3 linked regions of the Struthio camelus genome follow. The protein of the gene in region 1 binds, or shares a complex with, the protein of each later gene. Links are inferred from orthologs where the notes say so. Each region holds a gene or a part of one and is shown in the gene's direction. Other genes may lie near its edges.

Evidence for each region.
Region 2: GEMIN5 (region 1) and GEMIN2 share a complex: the UniProt entries of both Homo sapiens proteins name them as parts of the SMN-Sm complex. The link is inferred for Struthio camelus from reciprocal best matches to the Homo sapiens genes GEMIN5 and GEMIN2.
Region 3: GEMIN5 (region 1) and GEMIN4 share a complex: the UniProt entries of both Homo sapiens proteins name them as parts of the SMN-Sm complex. The link is inferred for Struthio camelus from reciprocal best matches to the Homo sapiens genes GEMIN5 and GEMIN4.

The regions. Positions count from the first base shown.
Region 1 is NC_090954.1:11,969,539-11,977,174, forward strand, and holds the start of GEMIN5 (gem-associated protein 5), read left to right. Parts: upstream 1-4,422; 5' UTR 4,423-4,527; coding exon 4,528-4,687; intron 4,688-4,985; coding exon 4,986-5,140; intron 5,141-5,839; coding exon 5,840-6,021; intron 6,022-6,801; coding exon 6,802-6,953; intron 6,954-7,183; coding exon 7,184-7,303; intron 7,304-7,636. Other genes in the region: MRPL22 (large ribosomal subunit protein uL22m), read right to left, coding at 1,240-1,375, 4,223-4,268, 4,363-4,390. UniProt on the Homo sapiens protein: The SMN complex catalyzes the assembly of small nuclear ribonucleoproteins (snRNPs), the building blocks of the spliceosome, and thereby plays an important role in the splicing of cellular pre-mRNAs.
Region 2 is NC_090946.1:57,112,173-57,119,340, forward strand, and holds the start of GEMIN2 (gem-associated protein 2), read left to right. Parts: upstream 1-3,979; 5' UTR 3,980-4,115; coding exon 4,116-4,237; intron 4,238-4,976; coding exon 4,977-5,061; intron 5,062-5,587; exon of another isoform or gene 5,588-6,039; intron 6,040-6,379; coding exon 6,380-6,469; intron 6,470-7,168. UniProt on the Homo sapiens protein: The SMN complex catalyzes the assembly of small nuclear ribonucleoproteins (snRNPs), the building blocks of the spliceosome, and thereby plays an important role in the splicing of cellular pre-mRNAs.
Region 3 is NC_090957.1:18,137,106-18,145,449, forward strand, and holds the start of GEMIN4 (gem-associated protein 4), read left to right. Parts: upstream 1-5,155; 5' UTR 5,156-5,220; coding exon 5,221-5,230; intron 5,231-5,328; coding exon 5,329-8,344. Other genes in the region: GLOD4 (glyoxalase domain-containing protein 4), read left to right, coding at 505-649, 866-1,002, 1,617-1,703, 1,942-2,055, 2,143-2,229, 2,743-2,808. UniProt on the Homo sapiens protein: The SMN complex catalyzes the assembly of small nuclear ribonucleoproteins (snRNPs), the building blocks of the spliceosome, and thereby plays an important role in the splicing of cellular pre-mRNAs.

The DNA.
Region 1 (7,636 bases):
CCGCTTAGCGGTATGCCAAGCAGAGGACAAAAGATAACACTTTCCAAGGAAGTATGATTGCAAAAATGGAAATCCAAAAAGGCAGCTGTCAAGAAGTATAAGGAAATACTGAGGAGCTCACCTAAAAATTCTCAGTTTGTGGTGTAGAGAAAGAACCATAGATTATTCCCTTCACTGACAAAATACACAACACTCAGTTTTCATGCAGAACTCTAAAACAAGAGGTTTGCTGCTGCTTGCTTTTAACTGTACTTTCCAGCTATAAATTGGTCAAGAGAAGGACAACAGAGAAGAAACATGGATGAACTTGCAGTTATCAAAAAATAATCTTATTTGTCATTACTTTATAGAAAGAGTCGACTATGTTATTTAAGTTGACTTTTGCAAAAGTTACTTTGGCCAACGGAAGACGGCTACATTGAGGATCTAGGTGACAAAAGGATATTAGATTCCTTCCTTCAATTCATGGCTTAGTAAATACAAATTATTATGCAAAGAGTCTGAAGAAACAACCCCGCTGTACAGTATTCATATACTGGTTTCCTGAGGGAAAGGGGTTTCTGCAGTCATATATCACGTCCGATTCATGTGTTCTTCTCTGATAATTTCAGAATCTCTCAGTCCATACCGAACAAATCCAAGAAAACAAAACAAGCAAGCAATAAGACAGAAGACAGCCTACGAATAAGTCTGTTAGGAGAAAGGCCACGTTAAGAGGTCACACCTTATTAGGCCCCAGATAATCTGTAAGAAAATAAATTAAGAAATGAAAAGATGATGCACTTTACTGCATCTACAGTAAATGTACACCATTAGCTCCGCTACTTAGAAGTAGATTTTCTAGCTTTGTGCACAGAACCAACAGTACAGTCACCTTCTTCTCTAGTTACCTACTATTAGCATGAATAGGACAAGTGTATACTGAGAGTTCCTGGTAACTTCTGCCTCTTTGTAGCTCAGACTTCTACAAAGAGAGGACGATATCTTTGCACTACGCATCACACATTAGATAGCTGATCAGCTGTTGAAGTTCCAACAAAATTTAGAGGTGGGAAACATCCAAAGTGAAGTTAACTTCTCTGGCTTTCACAATATAAATACACCAAACAGACCAAAATCTTAACACCAAATAAATAAGCTTTCAAATTAGCGCCTCGTAGGGTGATCTTGAGACAATGACCTTGTATTCTGAAATCGTTACATATAGACAGGTACCAAAAGTTATAGGTGCATTCTTACCGCTGGTCTGCGAGGTTCTCCAGGCAGCTGTGGAGGGTAAACAATCCTGTTCTTTTTCTCCCACTTCCCAAGTTTCTCCAGGGGTGTGCTTGTGTGGATGCATGACAGAGGGAAAACACTACCAGATGCTAAAAACCTGCAAAACAAGACCACAACCTTTGCTGTTGAATACAAAAACTCTGTGTGCCTGTTGAATTTATCCTTACCAGTCTGGATAAAGTGAATGTCTGTCACAGTTGACAGCTCACAAAATGAAACTATTTGAGCCTTTATACTGAAAGGTCTCCCACAGTTGGGCAGGAAGCTTTAGCCTTCCTAAAGCAAGCCATGATCTTAAGCGACATCTGTGTGGCAAGAGATGCCACAATGAGCATCCGCTGATCCTGACAGAGATGTAATCGCCTCTTTGTGGGGGGTTCATTACCAACATAATGAACCCACTGTTTGCAGTTTTTAAGATCAGCCAATACTTTAAGTTTCACCTAAAAATTTTTAGCAGTAGTAATTTTTAGCTTTTCAAGGACTGACTACCAAAGTCTTAGAACTGTATATACACTCATCTTGTCTGAAATTTGAAAGGAAAGTTATTTCAGAACTTCTTTAAAAAGGCAGTGAAATAAGATAATTGACAGTGAAAAACTATTTCTATGCTTTTCAGTCAGTTCTCTCACCTCCAATTCAGAAAGACTAGGCTACATTTTGCCCCCTGTTGTCTAGATAAAATGATACAGGGCAGTCAGTCGTAACTATAAGCTACAAGAAATAGGAGTCAAGAGGAAACAAAGCTTGAAAGCAAGAGGTAACAAACCAAGGCGTCTTCTCCATTTTGGTTTGTCAAAGACCGAGTATATTCTATTAGAATGTAACATCAAATGCTTTAGAAACTGAAAACCAATTCTAGAAATTGGGACACTTAAGTATTGCAATCAAAACATACCTTGAGCTTTCTAAGTGTCTGTTCCAGCCTTAACTAGAACACATGCTTTGCTAGTTACTAGTCTTCTTCCTCCCTTTCAACTTGAGACTGAAACAGAACGAGCAACTCTACTCCACTTTGTCTGCTTGCTGAGACCAGAATGCTTTCATGTTGAAAAACTGCTAGTATGGGGAAAAAGTTGTCAGAGCTGGGAAAAAGTTGTCAGAGTTGAATCCCCCCCCTCCCCATACCTTACAGTAGCAAGACATTTAGCCCCAAAAGTTTTGGCATGACACTAGCTATTTCTGAAGCACCATTTCGGTATCAGTCTCCTTTTCTCACAGAGTAGAGTTTCATAGCAAGTAAGTGACACACTACCTCAGAATTGTCTTTAAAAAGCCGTATTTCCACATTCCTCTTGGCATACGTGATCCTTGCAATCAAAGTTTCTAAAGCAAGCAACTACTGAATGACATTTTTCTTTTTCTGAATTGGCAGATATTGGCGGCAGGGAAATAACAATTCCCTTTTAAGTATTTAGAACACTTCACTGAAGCCATCCCTATATTAGGTACTCTCATAGACTAACTGAATAATTGAAGGTGGGAAATACAACACGCAGTTCGAACAAAAGACAGTCTTTTCTCCAGAGTCCAGATTCTGCTAGCAGCCTTCCTGATATAGCTACAATATAATAATAAATGAACTACAAAAGTATTTTTGCATTTGCCTCCATAAGTTAATATGAAATAAGAATAAAGATTAGCAATCACGGATCATATGATTAAGCCCACACATCCAAATGAATCTCAAAGACATACCAATTTATCCTTATCCTTTCATTAATCTCTAACCAAAAAGAATCTAGATAAGGTCAAGACGATATGCTGTGAGTTTTACAAAGTCTAAGGCTTGAAGACCTTTATGTTCACTGCCAGACTGTGCATCAAAGCAATTTAAAAGTTTTTGGCAAATAGCATACAATGTCTTAGTTGCAAGAGAGCATTGCACAGACTAAAAATTTTCACATTTGGTCAACAGGAAGTAGCGTAACGTGCAAATTAAAATATTATGGACTCTTCTAGCCAGTATTCATCAAAACTAGCTTCATTATTTGCTTAATACTTTGAGTTTCACTCAACAGCAAGTCAACAATTCATCATCACTAGACAATATCATTGAATAATATAGAACAAAAATATACAATGGTGCAGATTGATGACTGAATTAGCTGAGATAGCAGTGAATTAGTTATCTTCCAAGTATTAGCAGAACGCATTAATGCATTTCACAGACTAAGGATTTAGGAGCTTAAAATTGAAGGTAATCCAAGCGTATGTAGAGGGCAACTCTACTTGTAGTGCTTTCAGCAGGCAGAAGAGGACACAAAGAGACTACAAGCCAAAGAAGACAATGACAAGCAACAAAAGTATTTACGTTACATACACAAAACCAAGCAGAGAAGGAAAGAAAAAAAGAAGCTTTATAGCAGGAATTGTGCATAAGGAGTAAGCAGCAGACATAGAAGAACTCAATAAAACACAAGCCATCAGCATGCAACTTAGTTCAACTGCAAGGCAGTAAGCAAAGCACAAGCATGTTTATTCTTCCTTCAGAGACACGGCTCGCTCGTTTACCTCCACAGGCTTTAGCCGAGACCATAGCTCTGCCCTTTGAAAATCCACATCACCAGCCTTTCTTCTGAAGTTGGAATACAGCCAGCAGAGCCCCGCGTTCCCCAGACTCACCCTCCCCACCCGTGCAGATGGGGCGGGAAGGTCAGCAACTACGGAAAAGGCCGCTGGGGAGCCAGGGGAATTTTCTGGCACCGCTGTGCGCCAGAAGGCGGGAGGAACGAGGGGAGCTGCGCGGGCAGGACCAGAGCAGAGAGACGCCTCCGTCGTGCCGCTATGACCAGGCGCGGAGAAAGGTGCTACCGACGCACGCAGCGATGCGGCCCGGCCCGGCCCGACCCTCCCCTCCGCGCCCCGCGGTCGCCGGGCCGGGCCGGGCCCCCGGCGCTGGGCACCCGGAGCCCGCGGAGCCGGAGGGACGGGCCGCACTCACCTCTCCGGGCGCGCCCAGCCGAGGAGGCCCCACGGCCAGGCACAACCTGCAAGGGAGAAGCGAGGTGAGCGGCGGAGCGGCGGGCTCGGCCTGCCCCGGCCCCCGCCTCGCCGCCGCCGTTCCCGACCCCTCACTCTCACCAGCCGCCGCTACCCGCCGCGCCGCCATCTTCCTTGCTTCGCCTTACGGCAGGCGCTCTCGGCGCACGCGCGGCCTGCTGCGCGCCGCCAGCTTTGCGACGGCGTGCGCGGCGCTGGGCGGCAGCGCTCGGCAGCGCCCGAGGCGGCTAACGGGGCGGCGAGGCCATGGCGGCGGCGGCGCGGGTGCTGCCCGCCTCGCCCAACTGGTACAGCAGCCGCTGCAGCGACGCCAGCGGGGACGGCCGCCTCTTCGGCTTCGGCGCGAGGCACAGCATCTGCCTGCTGGACGTCGGCGGTGGCGGCACCGCCGCGCCCGCTTTCTACGGTACCGGCGCGCGCGCGCGCGGGGCCTGGTGGGGTGGGAGAGGATGGGGGTGACCGGGCCCCCTGACGCCGCCCCGGGCCCTCCTGCTCCGCGCCGCCTTTATAGAGCGCGGCGGGGCCGCCCCTCCGCCGCCCTGCGGCCCGCGCACGTGGTGGGGGCCGGGGCCGGGGCCGGGGCCGGGGCGGGCGGCCCTCGGGGGTGGGGGGGAGGTCGTGCCCTCGTGGAGGAGGGGGCCGCGCCCTCGTGGGGTCCGTGCCCTCCGAGGAGGTTTCCATCCCGCTCTTCCGCTGCCGCGCAGGAGAGCTCGTCGGCCACACGGAGAGGGTCTCCGGGTTCGCGTTTTGCCACCACCCCGGGCAGAGCGGGCTCTGCGCTAGCAGCTCCGACGACGGGACGGTGAAAGTCTGGGACACGCAGACGCTGTCGCCGGTGACGGAGCATACGTTGCACCAGGTAGGGACACCGGTGCCCATCTTCGCCGGGGCGTAGGAAACGCTGAGAGAAAAACTCACTGATCTGCCTTGTAGGACTGGCGCACAAAGCAGCGGGTATTGCTTCAACTAAAGGTGGATTTCGAAACTGGTGGAGTCAGGACTGTTGAATTCTTGTGGGTAGCTATTTTTTCCGGGCTTAGGTCTATAGTGATGTTATAGCATCTTAATAAGCTGTCAGGTATCATCAGAGCTTCAGTGAGCGAGTAATGCACTTGGTGCATGCCTATTAACACAGCTCACTTAACATCACCTCACCAAGTTGTTCTTCCTCAGAGAACACACGTGCGGTACGTGTGGTGAGTTACTGTGCCTCAGCTGCTGGGAGATACCATGGCCCATAAGAAGTTAACTGGAATGGCAGCGTATTGGCACACCAAACATGTCAAAGCTCAAAGTAACGGAAGCAGTTTAAAACTTAGCTGATGTTGGGGAGTACTTGCAGATTGTTTTCTCTTTGTTATTCTGTGTTAGGTGGTAATCTCTAGCTAGTGAGTGAAGGCAGGCTGTTAGAGTAACGTAGTCTGCTTTCCATCCAAAAAGAAGCTGCTTTTTATGCATTTCATTGTGTTCTGTGTTTTAATTCTTTAAACAGTATGAAATAAATCTAGTGGAACAACATCCTAGACTCCTTTAAACGTCTTTGATTCTGTTTCTTCAGAATACAATCTCTGCATTGCACTGGTCACCTCTTGTGAAAGATTTGGTTGTATCCGGTGATGAGAAAGGTATAATTGTTTGTTACTGGCATAACAGAAATGACAGCCAACAATTCTTCCCAGAGCCTCGGACAATTTTTTGCCTCACTTGTTCTCCTCATGACGAAAACCTGGTGGCTGTTGGGTAAATATTAATTGTTTTGTTGCTTCTCATTCTTCTTTTGAAAGGTCCTTGTCGTGGATTTTTGCTTGTTAAACAATTGCACAATTGCTTTCTAAGAGGTCTTGGTGGCTGTTTGGTTTCTGGTACGCGGCAACCCAGAAAGAATGTTCAGATTTGATAGACATGAAAGACATAGAATTCTATAAAAATTTAAGGGTCTGGGTTTGGTTTGAATCTCTGAAGTTATTTTAAACTAATATTTTTTTGATTAGACTTCTTTGGTCTTTGTCATATTACAGGTAACTTCATTTGAACAGTTTCTTAGTCTTGCTAGGCCTTTCTCAGCCATTGCAATTCCAGCCCCTTAGATGCCCAAGACCATATTGAACGAACAAGGAATAACATGAAAGCCCTTTAAACTTGAGAGCGCAGTTTTGTTGAAGGAGAACAAACACAAGAGAAGGGAGAAAATGAAAGTGGTGTTTCTAAAAGGAAAGGTTTTCCATGTAGAAAAGCGACTGTTGCTTGTCAGGTCTGTGGAAGCAATACTACTAATGACATTCATGAAGCCAAAAGTACCGTGTAATTGCACCTGAAAAGGCAGTTGCGTGTATTCCAGTGCTAAACTGGAGCTCCAGCTGATCGTTAGTCTGCGAGTCCCATTGCTGCTTGTGCTTTGGCTTCCCTGTCTGTAATATGGAGATAATGATAACAATCTCAGTGACAAGCTTTGAAATCAAATCAGATATTATTCCACAAGGGTCCAAGAGTTTCTTCATTAACTTAAATCTTTATTTTTAGCTACAAGGATGGCATGGTGGTTATAATTGATATCAGCAGGAAAAGAGAAGTTCTTCATCGGCTAAGAGGCCATGACGATGAAATACACTGTCTGGCCTGGTGCCCTGTGCCTGGTGAAGAAAGGTTACCTGCTTGGCAAGATGAGCTCCAAGGTACGTAGAAACGATTAATAGTTCGTAAAGTGGTTTTTGGTTCATACTGAAATCCTCCTTCTAGGCAACTCAATTCCTTATTCATAGAAAGGTGGTAGCTAATCAAAGGCACCTGATGAGTTAAGCTACGGTGTTTTCTGATACAGAGCAATATAGTTTCAGCTGATTTATACAGACCTTTCAGTTTTAAAGTATAACACGACTTTGACGCTATTCGATATTTCCTTTAGAAGACAGTGAAGTTCCAAATGGGGAGCTGACACAAGATACGGCTGCGAAGAAAGGCTGTTACCTGGCTTCAGGAAGCAAAGATCAGACCATACGAATATGGAGCTGTACTAGAGGCAGAAGTGAGTAAAGTTAATAACATAAGTGAAGTAAATAATAACAAAATGGTGGAAGAGTTCTTCTCTAACTACACCTTTCGTTTGCTAACCTAATAGTGTAATGCTCTGATTGTTCACTATGCTTGATTTACTGTGTGCTAATAGGAACTAAAAATCAGAACTACGATTGAAGTTCTGTTTTGCTGTAACACTGCCCATGATGGACCCCATTCCGTATTTGACTCTTAGCAATGATTTTCCTTGGCCCAAAGAAGTCAGAATTGGAGTTAGGACGTTCTTGGTGTTCACCAGGAGCAGGACAAGAAATATAAGCGATAACATTCATGTTAGACATTA
Region 2 (7,168 bases), on another chromosome or scaffold:
CAACAGAAGAACCTAATTTTCAGTTAGCCACTCAAACTGAGCCACCCTCCAAACCTGCTTTCCCAGTTTTGCTCATTAAGGATTCTTTTTTAAAACAATAAGTGTATGCGATAGCCCACCTAAATTAAAAAACAAACAAACAAACGCACCGTGCAGCACCTGCCTGCACGCAAGTCTCGTGCAGCTTTATCGAGATGGCTAAAGCATCGCTGCTAAACCCTCAGACCGTGGCACAACCGCGCAAGCGTCAAAGGTGCAGCCCACTTTGCGAGAAGTCGGAAGCGAGACTAACTTCAGGCCGGCGGACCCCGCAGCAGGCGGCGGCCGGCTCAGGCAGCCCCTGAGCCCCCGCGCACCCCCCGGGCCGGGCCGGGCCGGGCCAGCGCAGCGCGGACCTGCCGCCCGCGCAATGCCCAGCGCCGGCCGCCCGGGGCTCCTCGCTGCGGGAGGGCGCCGTGAGCGCCCCCAGGCCCCGGGGGGCGGCGGGGGCAGCCTCCCACCGTCCTGCCTCGCAGAGCGGGAGGGCCCCGCAGGCCCCGAGAGCGGCGGGGGCCTCCCGCACGGGCGCGCCGCGGCGGGGGAGGAGGGCAGCCCGCGCGGCGCCGGCCCACGGGCTCCTCTCGCCGCCGCGCAGCCCCCAGCCCGGCGGCCGGCGCCGGCTCCCCGCACCGCCGCCGCCGCGGCTGGGGGTGGCCAGCGGCCCGCTGCTGCCCGGCGCTGCGCCGCGCTGCGCGCTCACCGCGCGTCCCGGCCGCCGCCGCCTGCCTCGCGCCGCCCGCCGCTGCACCCAGCCGCCCCGGCGCTGCCGACGCAGCCAACATGGCTGATGGGAGAGTCCGCGCCACGTCAAGGGGCAGAGAGCGGCGGGCCGGGGGCGGGCGGAGCTCCCGCCGCCTCCCCTCCTCTGCCCCCGGCCCGGCCCGGCCCCGGCGCCGCGGTGCAGGCGGAGCTCTCGCCCCCCCGGCCCCGGGACCCGCTGCCCGGCGCGACGGGAGGCGGCGGCCGCCGCCATTTGTCGCCCCGCGCCACTGCTTTTACCGTGTGCTTTATCTTCCTGAGGGCTTCTTTCTTCTTGCTTTCCATGTGCTGTTACAATTTCAGATTTCTCCTAGAGATAGTTTTAATCTTGCTCTTTAAAGCTGTTTGGAAAATAACGTGTTCCGACCACTAGAGGGAGCGGGGCCTTCTCCGCCCCTGAAACGCATTTAGTTCTCCCTCGCTGTCCGGCTATTCCTGAGAGGGACCACCTGCATTGTATCTCCTAGCCCGTTGTACACCCATAGGCACCGGATAACTACCTTTACACTTGCATATGGGTGTACTTCTCTGTTATTTCTTTCTTCTTTTTTTTCCCTAGGGTCCATTTCAGGTAAATCCTCAGGATCAAGAGAGCTCAACCGGTGTTCTCACAGTCCTCACGTTTGCCCAGCCTGTTGTCTATCTTCCAACATGTGTATTTATGCCAACTTTTTATTCTGGAAAACTGTTTACATATTGTCTCAGACTTGCTGAGATAAATATATTGAACCTAGACTCTTGGTGGTTTTTAACCTGTTGCAGCACTTCTTCTCACATTTAGACATATTTAGAAATCTAATGCATGTTTATTTACTCTCTGCGCAGTAATTTCCACATATCCCTACCTGTACAGAGTTTTGTTAAGCCTTCTGGGTAGTGTGGGTTTTTTCTTTTTTTTTTTCCTTCAAAGACAAGTTATAGTGATACTTAGGTTTCAGGGCACTTCAGAATTACTTTAAACAAGCCTGAGACAAAAGGCTAAAACAGTCTGAATAAAACATTTACTTCTGTCTTTCATGATAAATCTTACTGCAAGTGATCTAGACGAGGGGGAGGAGTGAGAAACATTCTATCTAAACAGTCTATCTTGTCCTTCGCTGCAACTCTGAAAATATGCAGTGGCCACTAGCCAAATATAAACGACCAAATTGTCTTTATCCCCATTTGTTAGATATCAAATGTGATTACGACAGAATTCCTATGCCATTACTATCTCCAGTATTGTTAGCCCCTCCTCTTTAGGGCCTAAGAATATGAGCATGTAAACAAAAGTGGATTTTAAAGGGAGCCAGTTAAAATTTCTCTGTTCTCTAATCTCACTGCCAGTTGTGGGAGTATTGAGCTGGAGATCGTCAAGGCCATGTAACCTCCCCAGTTTGTGAACAAGGGTGGACTTCAAACAGATGCAGAGCAAGCAGTTCAGTGTTACACTTTTGAAAGCGCTCAAATACTCTGGTGAACGTTTTCAGAAAGGCATGATACAATGAGAGGAGGCAAGTCCCAAAGTCAAAATTGCAAGATGACCTCTATGGAGGAGGAGAAGAAAAGATAACTGAAACATTTAAAGAAGCTTAAAAGGGAAGAAGGAACACCTGGAAAGTTTAATATTCTAAAAGTTCAATGAAAATAAAAGGCATACAGTATTTTTATCAGTCATAAGCACAATTATTTAATTACATAATGACTCAGTCCAGCATCCTAAGCTTCCTTTAAGAAATGTGATGGAGCCGTTAAATGTTGATGGATACCACAGAGAAAAGCAATGGGAAGTGGAAAAATAGAACAGAAAGTTGTACTCATTATAATGTACTCATTACAAGAAAATATTCTTTCTGTTATCTCTCAATATTAGAATGTACAGTAATGGTATTCTATTTTTCTCACTAAAGATTGTTAGTTTGTGTTAGATATTTTTTAACTCAGCAATGCATATCCACTGATGGCAGCTCACCTTTCCTTTGGAAAAGTACTCTTCCATAACGGCGAGGCAGCTGAGAAGGAAGAACATTTAGTTCCAATTTCTTTTTCCTCTTTCTCCACTGAGTCCACTTTGACAGGCACCACATCAACATTGTTGGTAAGACTTGTTAGGAACAATTTTGTTATCCTAGGAAGACCACCTGTAATAATTCAAAATATTTCATTTAAAAAGTGACAGTGGGACTGTACCAGAAAAAGTCATCTAAATATAAATAATATTTTATATTTACAATGTATTTATATCCACAGAATGTCTTTCTGTTCATAGTTCTTGACTTCATGGCAAACAGAAGAAAAGTGCTGAATATTATATAAGTTTTAGAAGAAAACTTTTTACAGCTTGACTCACCAAAATTTTTGTCTACACCATTGGTCAGCCTTTTCAGAAATATCATTGCAGTTTTAGCTATGCAAGTCGTATTTCAAGTGATGACTGCACTTGTTGCATAATCAACTAGGAAGTTAGATCCGGGTTTCAGAGTTAAAACACCTTCTTACACGTAAGTGGTTTTGGAAACACCTTAAAACAAACAAAAGTCAGTGCAGAGGAGGAGTTAAGAGTTAGTGTTTGTTCAGAACTGCTGAAGTACAGCTTTGTAGGAAAAAAAACATTTATTTTCAAAACTTGAAGCCAGAACAGTCTAGAGCTGCTCTGCTCTACTCTATGGACTGAAATTAGTACGAAACAGATTCAGCACACTGCAGAACTGTTAGGGAAAAAGAATATATAGACTGAAATTTGTCCTAACAGGAATTCGATAATACACAGTTCAAATGCATCATCCTGCTTTCTATTTGTTTTGCACTTTGAAGCAACGCACCTTTGTGTTAGCGCTACTTTGATTTTGATCTGGCATATGGATATATGCATAGAGAATATATATATAAACCCATACAGCAACAACAACAAAACCATGCACTGGCTCTTCCAGAAAGAGAACTATGCTTATTAATAGCACTTAACTTTTACATGCCTCATTTCAACCATAGATCTCCAAACATTTAAAGGAGAGAGCAAGTAGTAGTACTCTCACTGCACTGGTGCAATAGAAAATATTAATAGATGAGTTTTGTTTTTAAAGAACCCCTTGAAAATAACAAGGTACATTAGAATGATGGCATAGAGGCTAAAAACGGTTATTAAAGGTTTGCAGCGGCGCAGCGGCGCAGGGCCCCAGCCTCCCACGTCTCGCGAGACCGCGAGCCCGCGGCCGCGCCAGCCTGCGCAACGCCTGTCGCCTCCCCGCCGCGCGCATGCGCGCCGGCCCGGCAGCCCCGGCGGCGGGCGCGAACGGTGGCGGCCGCCGGGAGTGGGGAGGAGCTGTCGGGGCGGCGCGATGGAGTCCGCGGTGGAGGAGCTGATGCCGCGGCTGCTGCCCGTGGGCCGCTGCGACTTGGCCGAGGACTTCGACCCCACGGTGCCTCCCAGGACGCCCCAGGAGTACCTCAGGCGTGTCCAGTGAGTGGCGGCGCGGAAGGGCCGAGGCGCGGCCGGCCGGGGTGCCGCCGGGGGTCGGGGCCGGGCGGCGGTTGGAGCTGCCCGGGCGCGAGGGGCCAGCGCCGCGCCGGCGTGCGCAGGCACGGCCAGGGCTGCCGTGTCTTCCTGAGAGCTGATAGCGACACGGGGCGCTGCCAGAAGGTAGCCAGAAACGTTACTTCCCCAGCGTTTCCTCCGTGGTCGGCTCTCTCCCTACGTGAGATGTCAAAACGCATCTTTTTTTTCTGTGAGGCTCGTTCTGTAAGAGCTCCTAACGCTTCGTGGCACGCTGCCGTCTGTCACTAGGTGTTTCTGACAGGCTTGTTGGCCCGTTGGGATTTGCAGCGCTCGGCGCTGGTGCTGCGCGCTTCTCGCAGAAGGATGGAGGGTGCATCTGTTAGCTGTGTCTACCTACCCCTAACAGTGGCCTCCCGCCATCTCCCGCATCCCGGTACGGGAAGCATAATCTGTCTCACTTCAAGCAAGCTTCAGGCAAGCTAGAGCAATCGTCCCTAGTTTATTCTCAGTTTGAGAATACTTAACCTGTGATACATTAAGAAATTCTCAAGTTACACCTTCCATAAGAATTGCTAGTATAATCAGTGGTGTTTTTTTAAACACTTGAGAATTTGTGCAAGTGCCATAGTTTAAAGACACTCAACATATATAACCACCTGTTACAATACAGGAACAAATGTAACCATTTACTTTTGTTTTGTAGGATTGAAGCAGCTCGCTGCCCAGATGTCGTTGTGGCACAAATAGACCCCAAAAAATTGAGAAAGAAACAGACAGTAAACATTTCAGTAAGTTTGAGAGGTTTTGCACCTATTATTTTGAGGGGGGGGGGAAGCAGAAAATATATTTATGTTAAAATCTCTGTATTAATTTTTTGGGATAGTTGGCCTAAATAAAACAATAGAGTTGCTGTATATTAAAAGCATCTACAGAATTCCATGAAATTTCAGGGTTTGAAGAGACGGTTGTTGAATTACTGGATAACAACAGTCTTTATAACTGTTTTAAATGGCTATTATCCATGCTATTTAATAAACAGCAGGACTTATTTTACTGCCTGAGGAAATTAAATATTGCATTAAATTTTATAAACATTTTCTCATAAAACCTGTGTAAGCTTTGGAAGAAAGATACTCATACCTCTGTTCATATATATATATATATATATATATACACACATATATATGTATATTTTTACATGTGTGTGTGCACATATATATATATTTATGTGTATAGAGGGTGATGAATGATAGTAAGTGTAATAAATACAGCTAAGGTTTACTAATGTTAGATGAAATTCCAGCACCAATTCTTCCATTTTTGGTAGGATATTTTATTGAAATTTTTTCTTATTGCTCAAGCAGATCTTTCTGTTGTCACATGCCCTGGTGTTTTTTGTTTGTTGTTAATTTCTTTACTTCCAAATAGTTCAAGCAACAGAGTTTGTCTTCCTCTGTGGGAAACTGTGATCTGATATTTTACTATTGGACTGCTCAAGAGAAGTTTCTAAAACTTTAATGTGCTCTGACATATGACCATGTCATTCTTGTGACCATTCTCTTCATTTGTCTCATCACTTTGTAGTGGCATTGTTAAACATTTGTAGAAAGATTCTTTTCTTAAAATAACTCTTTAAAGCTGGTTACTAGAGGGGTTATATGTCTACTTAATTTTCAGAGTTAATTTCCAAAAAGATATTTCTGCAGTCTTCTCTGTCTTCCTCACCTTATTAGCTGAGCACATAGAACTCCCAAGATAGACAGCATCTGTCCAAAGTAAGGAAATAACATCCTCCTTTTTATAAATAGGGAAATGAAAGCAGAACAATTGCAAGGAAAAAAAATATATAAAAATCTTATTTTGATAGCATATTTTGAATACTTAGTTTTTCTTCTTATTCGCGTTATCAGAAGAGTCAAATGGGAAACTTTGCCTCAACCAGCTGTCAAATCATAGTCTTGTACGTGGTCATGAAATCACCTTTTTTCTAAAGAGTATATAAATGACATTTTTATCTGATAGTAAATATTTGCTGATGCTCTTGCTCTTAAGGATTCTTTTTATAAAACTTTCTTTACATTATAATTATTGCCAGTGTTTTCTTAGATTTCTGGATGTCAGCCTGCTCCTGAAGGATACTCTCCAACTCTCAAGTGGCAACAGCAGCAAGTGGCCAATTTCTCAGCTGTTCGTCAGGTACAAAATGGTGGGGGGGAATGTTTGCAACTTGCACTGTCTAGATAGAACACATCTTTGCTTTATGGGGGACAACCTTATATACTTCCTACCATAAAGTTAAAAGATTCTATAGCAGATGTTGGTAGATAACTGTTTTAACTTCTGACAAAAAATCAGTATATAACTGTATGGCTTTAAACTTTTGATGAAACTCTCAAGAGAGTTGTGGTAAGAGAGATCTGTTAAAGACAAAAAATGTTCATTCAACTGTATCAAAAATATCCAGCTATATTTAGATTAAATGATGTAGAGTAGTTGAGAGAGGACAGAAATCCTGATGTTATGCAGTTATGAAAACCTAGAACTCAGCATCAACTGAAAAAAAGGTGGATTGTAACCCACCATGAGATTTATGTATACACTGTATTGCACATTCATATAATACACTGCCCATTTAGGATACCATTGTCACTGGTGGGACCCATGATGGGGAGAAATATTGATTTGGCAAAATGCATTTGTAAGGTTGTGACATTTGCACAGATTTAAATCTTTCCTACCGCGTTTATACGTTGCTTTTAAATAAGAGAACTAAAATGAAGAATTGAATAGCCTCTCTCGATTCACAGTTCTGAGTGAAATGCAAAAGATAAAGATCTTTACAACTCCAGTGCTGCTGAAGGCATGTTTACAGTGCGTTGGTATCACGTTTCAGAG
Region 3 (8,344 bases), on another chromosome or scaffold:
CATGGTAGAACGGTTAGGAATTTGGTTTTTTGCTTCTGTACAGTGTGTTGTATCAGGCTTTTAAATCCTTTTTGCTTCTCGTTTCCCTTTGATGTGAAAGAAGAGTAAGTTAACGCGTTCTCAGTGTATATGTGGGATGAGAGGTCAGATTACACTTACTTTGCAGGAGCAAGATACCAGCTTCTCAGGAGATCATATAGTCTATCTCTAAGCAAAAGTAATCTGATTTGCTTCCGGTCTTCATATGTAGAGGCAGATTATTTCAAAGGGGGGAACTATGCACCATCCACTCTGTCTGGTGGTCAGATCTCCTTGACCACAACCACAGGTTGGATCCAAGATTGTGGCTAATGTAGCCTGGAAGGGTGAAAGGGAGGAAGACAGAGTTCTCCTTATCGATGCATATAAACTGGAGGGCCAGTGCTAGTGCAAGCCGGTGAAGAGAGGCACCTCAGTCATCTTCGCACCAGCGTATTTTGTATGTGTCCTTTCTGTTCTTGCTAGGGCATAACACTTGTGTCCAGCCAGGCTGTGAGCAATGCTAAGAAGCTGGGATGGCCCCTCAGCGAAGTTGCCACTGGTATATTTGAAACTGAGGCCCCGGGAGGATACAAGTTCTACTTGGAAGACAAAGAACAACGAAAGCAAGGTAAAGCATGTCCGCTTACTCTTACTTACATTCAAAAGAGGCCTACAAGTGGAATACTGGAATTGGCTGTGCATTTGGCTTGCAACGTTTTATGAAACAGGAGCATGTTTCTGTTTCATTTCCTTGTTGTTTCTCTCTTCATCTCGAGAATGTAAAACAATGAGTTTAAAACTACAGTATCTCTGTAACTAATGTGAAATTATTGCAATCTTATAGATCCTGTGCTAAAGGTAACTTTGGGTGTCTCCGATCTGCAGAAGTCTATTAACTACTGGTCTAATTTGCTTGGGATGAAAATATATGAGAAGGATGAGGAAAAGCAAAGGGTTTTACTAGGCTATGCAGATAACCAGGTTAGTCTCATAGAAAACTTTCCAGTTCTGATCTTTAAGAGTTGTATTTCGTGATAGAAGCTTCTTATTCATGAGAACAAAATCTTAAAGGAGAAAAGCTCTTCATAAAAACAAGTGTTTCTCTGACCTTTTCAACATTAGCTTTTATTAGTGCATCCTGCTTCTATCTTACCTCTTACACGTTGCAAGAGAAGAGATTCTCACGGTTGTTAATGCTTCTGGGTTTACATTTTAAATGATTTGTTAAAAGCATTTCTCCTTTGTGAATTATTGCCCAGAATGCTTATACAAATAGAAATCAGTGGTACAAGTTGACTGTTCCGTTGAGACACTTACCTGCAAGTGAACTTACTTGTTCAATGTTTTGCAAAGAAAGGCTGAAACTGTCAACAATTCTCAGTCTTTCCTACTTTGGATTGTTTGTGTGTGTGTGTGCTTGTGTGCACTTAATTCATTTTTTAACCAAAAGCTATGGCTTGCTCTGGTAGTTCTAACTCATTGGGAAATATGTATGTGGGTAGTTTTGACATCATCGGTATCAGTGAAAAGCTGGAGTTAAGTGTAGCGCTGAGAATAGTGTCCTTGCAAATTAGGCTATTTTTTTCCTCTTCCAGTGTAAATTGGAGTTGAAGAACGTTGGAGGAGCAGTGGATCATGGGACGGCATTTGGGCGGATTGCCTTTTCCTGCGCAAAGGAAGAGGTAATCTTTTTTCTCTTCCCCCTTTCATTTGGCCAGCTGGCTACTAGGAGATTATTTTCTGGTATTAACAAAATATCTCAGATGTGAACAAAGTAACACTGAACAGATGTTCTGTTCCTATTTCTTGCAGTGAGAACACAATGGAGAAACGGGCTAACAGGAAACTGTAAACGAGAACAACCTGAATGCATCTGATCTTCAACTGACTAGGGCTGGTCTTGTTTCTTTTCTGTTTCAGTTGCCAAACATTGAAGCACTCATGAAAAAGGAGCATCAGAAAATTTTAACACCTCTAGTTAGCTTGGACACACCTGGCAAAGCCACAGTGCAAGTGATTATTTTGGCGGATCCTGTGAGTAATATTGGCAAGACTGACAGATTTGATTTAAATATCTGTCTCCCAGTTATCTAACTTACTGTGCTGTTAAACTTGGTTTAGGATGGCCATGAAATCTGCTTTGTGGGAGATGAAGCATTTAGAGATCTGTCCAAGGTGGATCCTAATGGTGATAAACTGTTAGATGATGTAAGTAATGCTGTCTATGCATGAGTTTTCATACTGATCAGTTAGACGCCCAGTAGAATTTAATTTCCTTTCCAAGGAAGCTCCCTTTAGTTCCAAATGGAGTTTTTTCAGAGAAGCAAGTCATGTGGTGTTTTATCTCAGTCTCCTTTCCAGCTAAGGAAAGCAAATCAATTTTTAGAGTTCACTTCTGTGTCCTGGCTAGTTTTCCAGCCTTGTTCTCAGGGCAGCCAAGAGGTTGTGCATCTTGCTGGACCTGTCAAACAACACTTTGGTGCAAGTTACTGCAGAAAATGATTTGTCAGCTGCAGTAACATCCCTGCAGTTGAAGATCCTTCCGCGACAGAGAGGCACTGGCAGAAACCATGAGGTTTCCTCAGCAGAATAGCTTGCTTCAGAACTAGATTGATTATAAGGATGCTTTCTAAATTTGTGGGGCAGGCTGGTGAATGTCAGCAACCAGGTGTCTGGCTGAATGGGCTTCTGTTCTAAATACTAAAATTTTTCTTTGTACAGGCCATGGCAGCAGACAAGAGTGACAAATGGTTTGCAGAGAAAAACATGAAGAAGGCTTCTGCTTAGTTGGAGAATAAGACTCGTCTGATCATTTGTGCCTTGGTTGCCATCTGAGTGAAATGCCTATAATATGTAACGTGTTGTGTTATCCTCTTCAATAAGAGGCCAGTGTAATGCTGGGGGTTTTTTTGAGCTTGTATCTCTTAATGCTAATCTCTCCTTTCCAGTAAATGCTACGTGCTCCTTCAAATGTATGCAAAAAATTGGGTTGTACAGTAAGGAACAGATTGAGCATATGGCTTCAAAAACAGGAACCATGAGTTAATAGGTAGAAAATCTCTCACATTTCTCTATTCCTGTTAGACTTGAAAAGGAGGCCCAGAGTTTCTCCTCTAACACTGCTACAGCTCTCTGATATCTTGTGTAGTGCGCTGTTAACAGCTGTTAGCGTGCTGTGAGCAGCTGTCCTCAGTTAGCCTTCTGCCATGGTTGTGAGTGAATAACGCTTCTACGGTTTTCCTGTTTAATGTCACCAGAGGCAAATTTCTGATGTATTGAAACAAAGGTATTAAAAGATAATTAAAAAGTGGGACCCTAATTAATTGGCTATATTCATTAAAGAATTAAAATAGGAATTAAGTTTGTGGATGAAATGAAAGCTATTTACAGATGTTCTCAAACATTCACTATTAAAGCAAAACGTGAGGTCAATAGTAACATAAGAATATTACGTGGAAAAGGCCTATTCTGTTCCCATTAATGGATGGGATAAGTTAAGGAGAAAATTTCCATGTCAAAAGCTTATCAACAATGGTAGAGTCAGAGAGCAGGTACTATTAAAGCTTATTCTATAATAAATCTGTAGATTCATTAGAATCTGTGGATTTATTAGACTATCTAGTCCTCCAGTTAATTGGGTTTGGCCAACCTGGATTTGCTGCTCAGAAAATAGGTTTTCAGGTAGCTCTGGCCCTGAATATGGCAGCTGTCCTGCTTTGGTGATGAAGTTTCAAGCTGAAGCTGAGGGGGTGTCTACAGAGAACTTGACCATTTTGTAGCTATGATAGCGGACTCTTATTTATTGAGAACAGGGTAACTATCCTGGTGATGCATGTGAATATTCTAGTCTGGAAAATTATTTTCATTCCAAAATCTTTGCCTGGCTTTCACGGTGAAGTATGCACTTTGGAAAGCTGGATGGATTTCTCACTGGGGTCATACTACGTGAATCCACTGGATGTATTCGATCCCGTACCCAGCCCCTGCCTGCGTAGCTGCTCAGCGCAGCACACAGCACCGCACGTTCCAGGCTGGAGCCTGGCTGTGCCTCGGGGGGTGCAACAGCTCCGTGCCTTCCCCTGAGGGGCCAGGAAGTAACTTCAGATACGTACACATGGCTTTGCAGTTAGCTTTGATGTTAAATTACCTTTTGGAAGCAATGGTTATGGGTTTATGGGTTGGAATAAAGTCGCTCTGCTTTTGCTAGTGGAATGAGAACTTGGGAATACAGGGACTCATTACTAGCATTGTTCATGTTCGGCAGGCTAGCTGGCTTTTAATCTTTCTTCATGAAAACCTGAAATAAGTTTTACAGAAAAAAGGAGGCAAAATCAACAGCATTAGCAGTTGTGTATCACTGAGACAATTTAAATGCTTACGAGGAATATGCTGAATTAAAATGGGAAAAAATCCTCAATATGTTGTTTGCGCTTTTTGTTTCATTCGATTAAGCCAACTACTGATCAAGTAAAAATATTACACTTAAATTGTATCTCCACAGCCTGTTGTTTTGAAAACGTGCAATTAAATGAATAAAAGTGCTTTGTGGTGACGATGATCTGAGATCTGTTCTTTCAGCTACCCTGCAGGGCATTCTTATGCAATGTTCTGCCAGTTTTAATGTAATTCTCAACGCCTTTCATGCAAACAAAAAAAATCATTGCAAAGTTGTGTCAAAAGGGTGGGAAAAAAGTTCCACTCGCTGCCTGGCCTGGTGGGAAGCCCAGGCACCGCCCGGGGCTGCACCGGCAGCGGGGGAGCCTTCCCGTGCGCGGGTTTAAACCACGGCAGATGCAGAGAGGAGTTCTTCACGTCCGAAAAGTAGCTTTTAAGTAGCACGACCCCAAATAGATCGTCCAGAGCTGTTAAAGGTTTCCTACTGCCCCGGGGGGGGGGGGGGATGTGACACCCCCCCTGTCCGGGAACCGGCCAGGCGGCGGCGGCGGCGGCAGCGGCAGCTCCGCCGCTCCGCCAGGGGGCGCTGAGGCGGCGGAGCGCAGCGGCGGCAGCTCCCCCGCTCCGCCAGGGGGCGCTGAGGCGGCGGAGCGCAGCGGCGGCAGCTCCCCCGCGCCGCCAGGGGGCGCTGAGGCGGCGGAGCGCAGCGGCGGCAGCTCCCCCGCGCCGCCAGGGGGCGCTGAGGCGGCGGCGGCGCGCTGGCGTCACAGAGCGCGGCGGCGCGGGGCGCGGGCCGGGGCCGCCATGGAGGCAGGTGAGCGCGGGCGGCCGCGGGGGGCGGAGGAGGAGGAGGGGGGGGGGCGTCGGGCCGGGCCGGGCCGGGGTAACGGTGCGCCGCGTGTCCCCGCGCAGGGCCGTGGGGCGTGTGCGAGGAGATGGCCATCCTGCACGGCGGGTTCCTGCTGGCCGCCAAGCTCTTCCAGCCGCGGCCGCTGCGGGAGCTGCGCAAGGCCGACTGGCCGCTGGTGGGGCCGCCCATCGCCGACGCCCTGCGCGAGATCGGCGCCCGCCGCCCCGCCCCGCCGCGCCCCGGCCTCTGGAAGAAACAGGCCGTCGCCATCGTGTGGGCCAAGGTGCTGCTGCCCGGCCCCCCGCCCGCCTCGCTGGACCGGGGCTGGCGGGAGGACGCCTTCTTCTCCGTCGGGCGGATGATCCCCGACGTTAACCACACCGTCCTCTTCGAGCTGGCCAAGGCCCTCAACGTGCCCCGGCTCTTCGTGCAGCTGCTGCTGGCGCTGCCCCGCCACCTGCGCCGGGGCGAGCTGGAGCGCTTGGTGGAGTACGTCGCCAGCGAGACCTCCCCGGCGGACGTCAGCTTCTTCCTGGACGTGTGGTGGGAGGTGATGAAGCACAAGGAGGAGCAGGAGGACGGGACGGCCTCGACGTTCAGCGCTCTCATCCGTCAGCACGGGTCCGAGTCCTCTCCGGACGACGGGCTCCAGCCCCCCAAGAGGTTCAAGAGCGACCCTGTCTCTGTGACTGGCCCGCCGGCTGCCGCCAGCCTGCTCGTGGTCCTGATAGAGGGGCTGAAACAGACCTACAGGAGCATCACCCTGCCCCGCATGAGGTGCTACGCCTTGGCCAACCTGGCGGAGCTGCTCTCTGTGTTCACCGAGCTGGAGCCAGAGGGCAGGTCCCTCCCCGTTGCTGAGTACCTGGACAAGGTCAGCTCCGTGGTCAGCCTCTGGAACAGCGATGCTGAAAGCCGGTACCACCGGAGAGGGCTGGACGAGAAAGTGAGGGAGGCTGAGAGAAGCATGAGCCTCTTGTCCGTCGTCAAGCTCTCTGACGAGGAGCTCTTTGCTGGCTTGGACTTTCTCCGCACCTTGCTGCATGCCTGGGGAGAGGAGCTGCAGGGCACTCTGAACAACTCTGAGGAGCTCTGCTATGAGAGCTACCGGCTCCTTGATACGCTTACCACCCTCAGAAAGAACCTGGTTTGCTTCTCAGAGACTAGAGACCTGAGCGAGGACGAGAAGTCCGTAGTGCTAGAGCTGACACAGATCATCGGGGACTTTCTCAAGAAGATCAGCACCAGTCTGAAGAGCAAGGATTCAGACACCAGCCTTGTCTCTTCAGTTGCCATGACAATCATTGAGCGGAAGCTGGACCGGCACGTGGAGATGTGCTCCGTTTTTGCTTCTGAACAGACCTGGGCCTTTTCAAAGGACTGGGTTGACTGCCTTGTGAAAAACAAAACTCTCTTCCAGAAACCAGAGCTAGTTTTGAAATTGCTGGATACTGTGGTGAACTTTACTGTGTCCTCCCAAGACAGGGAGGCCCGAGAGTTGCAGATGCAAGTGACCAGAGCCATCCTGGAGTGTTACACTGAGCTTTCATTAACTGACAAGAATGAAGTCCTCTCAGGTGTCCTGGCTTCCTGGGGTGGTCCGGGTCTGTCCCTGAACTTGCAGGTTGTCATGGAGGGATTCCAGGAGGATCTGAATGTGACGTTCAACCAGATAACGCAGAGCGTGTCCGATCAAGGCCTGTCCAGGGCTGTGGCTTCTGTGGCCAGGCTCACTCTGCTGTACCCTGAGGCCACCGTGAAGAAGGTTTGTAATCTTGCTGTTGTCAACCTAGGAACACACCAGTTCCTTGCCCAAATCCTCTGCTCCTTCCCAGCACTGAGCTTCCTGGAGACCCACGATGATCCAGGCAGGCCACGCAGTCTGATAGTGAGGTGTCTGAAGGAGGCGGTATGGGGGAAGCTTTCCACAGCGAGAGAAGAGGAACAGTTTCTTGAGTTCTTGGCCTTTCTCATGCAGCCAAGCTCAGCAGCTCCACTTGTGTCACCTGCAGAGGTGACTAAAGCCTTTATCCTTCCCTGTTTGAAATCAGACTGCGCTCAAATTGAGCTGAGCCTGCAGATCCTCAGTAAGGTTTTGGGGATGCAGTCCTATCCAGAAGAGCACTGGATCAAGTCCTGCTACCCATTCCCGCTCCTCCTCAGCCTCTGCAAGCTTCTGGATGGTTACACAAGGTACTGGCATCGGCCCAGGGACCAGCACTTCCCTTCACTGGAGACCAAAGACCTGGTGGTGAACACCCTCTCCCAACTCTGTGAAGTGGTAAGACCAGAAGCCGCCCCATCCCCTGAGGTGTGGGTCCAGTCGCTGGCTTGGCTTCATAGGAAGTTGGCATCACTGGACTGGACTGTTGGTCTCCACCTGAAGAAGCTTTACGGAGACCATTTCAAGAATGAGGTCCCAGAGACGCTATTTGAGATCTGCAAGCTCCCAGAGGACGAGTGGACGTCCCGGCCTTTACCAGCCTACGGGCCGGGCAGCGGGCTCTTGGCATGGATGGAGTGCTGCTGCGTGTCCACAGCGCTCAGGGAGACGATGCTGACGCTCCTCACGGTCAACGTGGACAACCCTGAAGAAGTGAATCTCTTCAGCAAAGGGTTCCTGGTGGCCCTCATACAGGTCCTCCCTTGGTGCAGCCTTAGCGAATGGAAGAGGCTGGCGCATGTGGTCCAAAGCTTGCTGCAGAGGCAAGTCTTACATGTGCCGTACACGCTGGAGTACGTCCAGTACATGCCCCTGCTCAACCTCCGGCCTTTTGCCCACTACCTCCAGTTCTCTGTGCTTTTCCTCCGAGGCTTCCAGCTCCTCTGCAGCTCCAGCTGCTCCACTTGGCTGCCGGCAGAGGCCTGGCTCCACGTGGTCCAGCTGTACTGCAGCAGCCTAACGGACCTGTTGGGCTCCATCAAGAGCACCACGGTGCCCCCCGTGCCCCCCGCCGAGGACATGAACCCCACACAGGAAGTGTCCTTTGTCTGCATCCAGATGTTCTGCCATGTGCTGCATGTCGCTGCCATGCTGCCGGACAACGGGTGTGGCGAGCCGCTGGTGGTGGTGGCGTT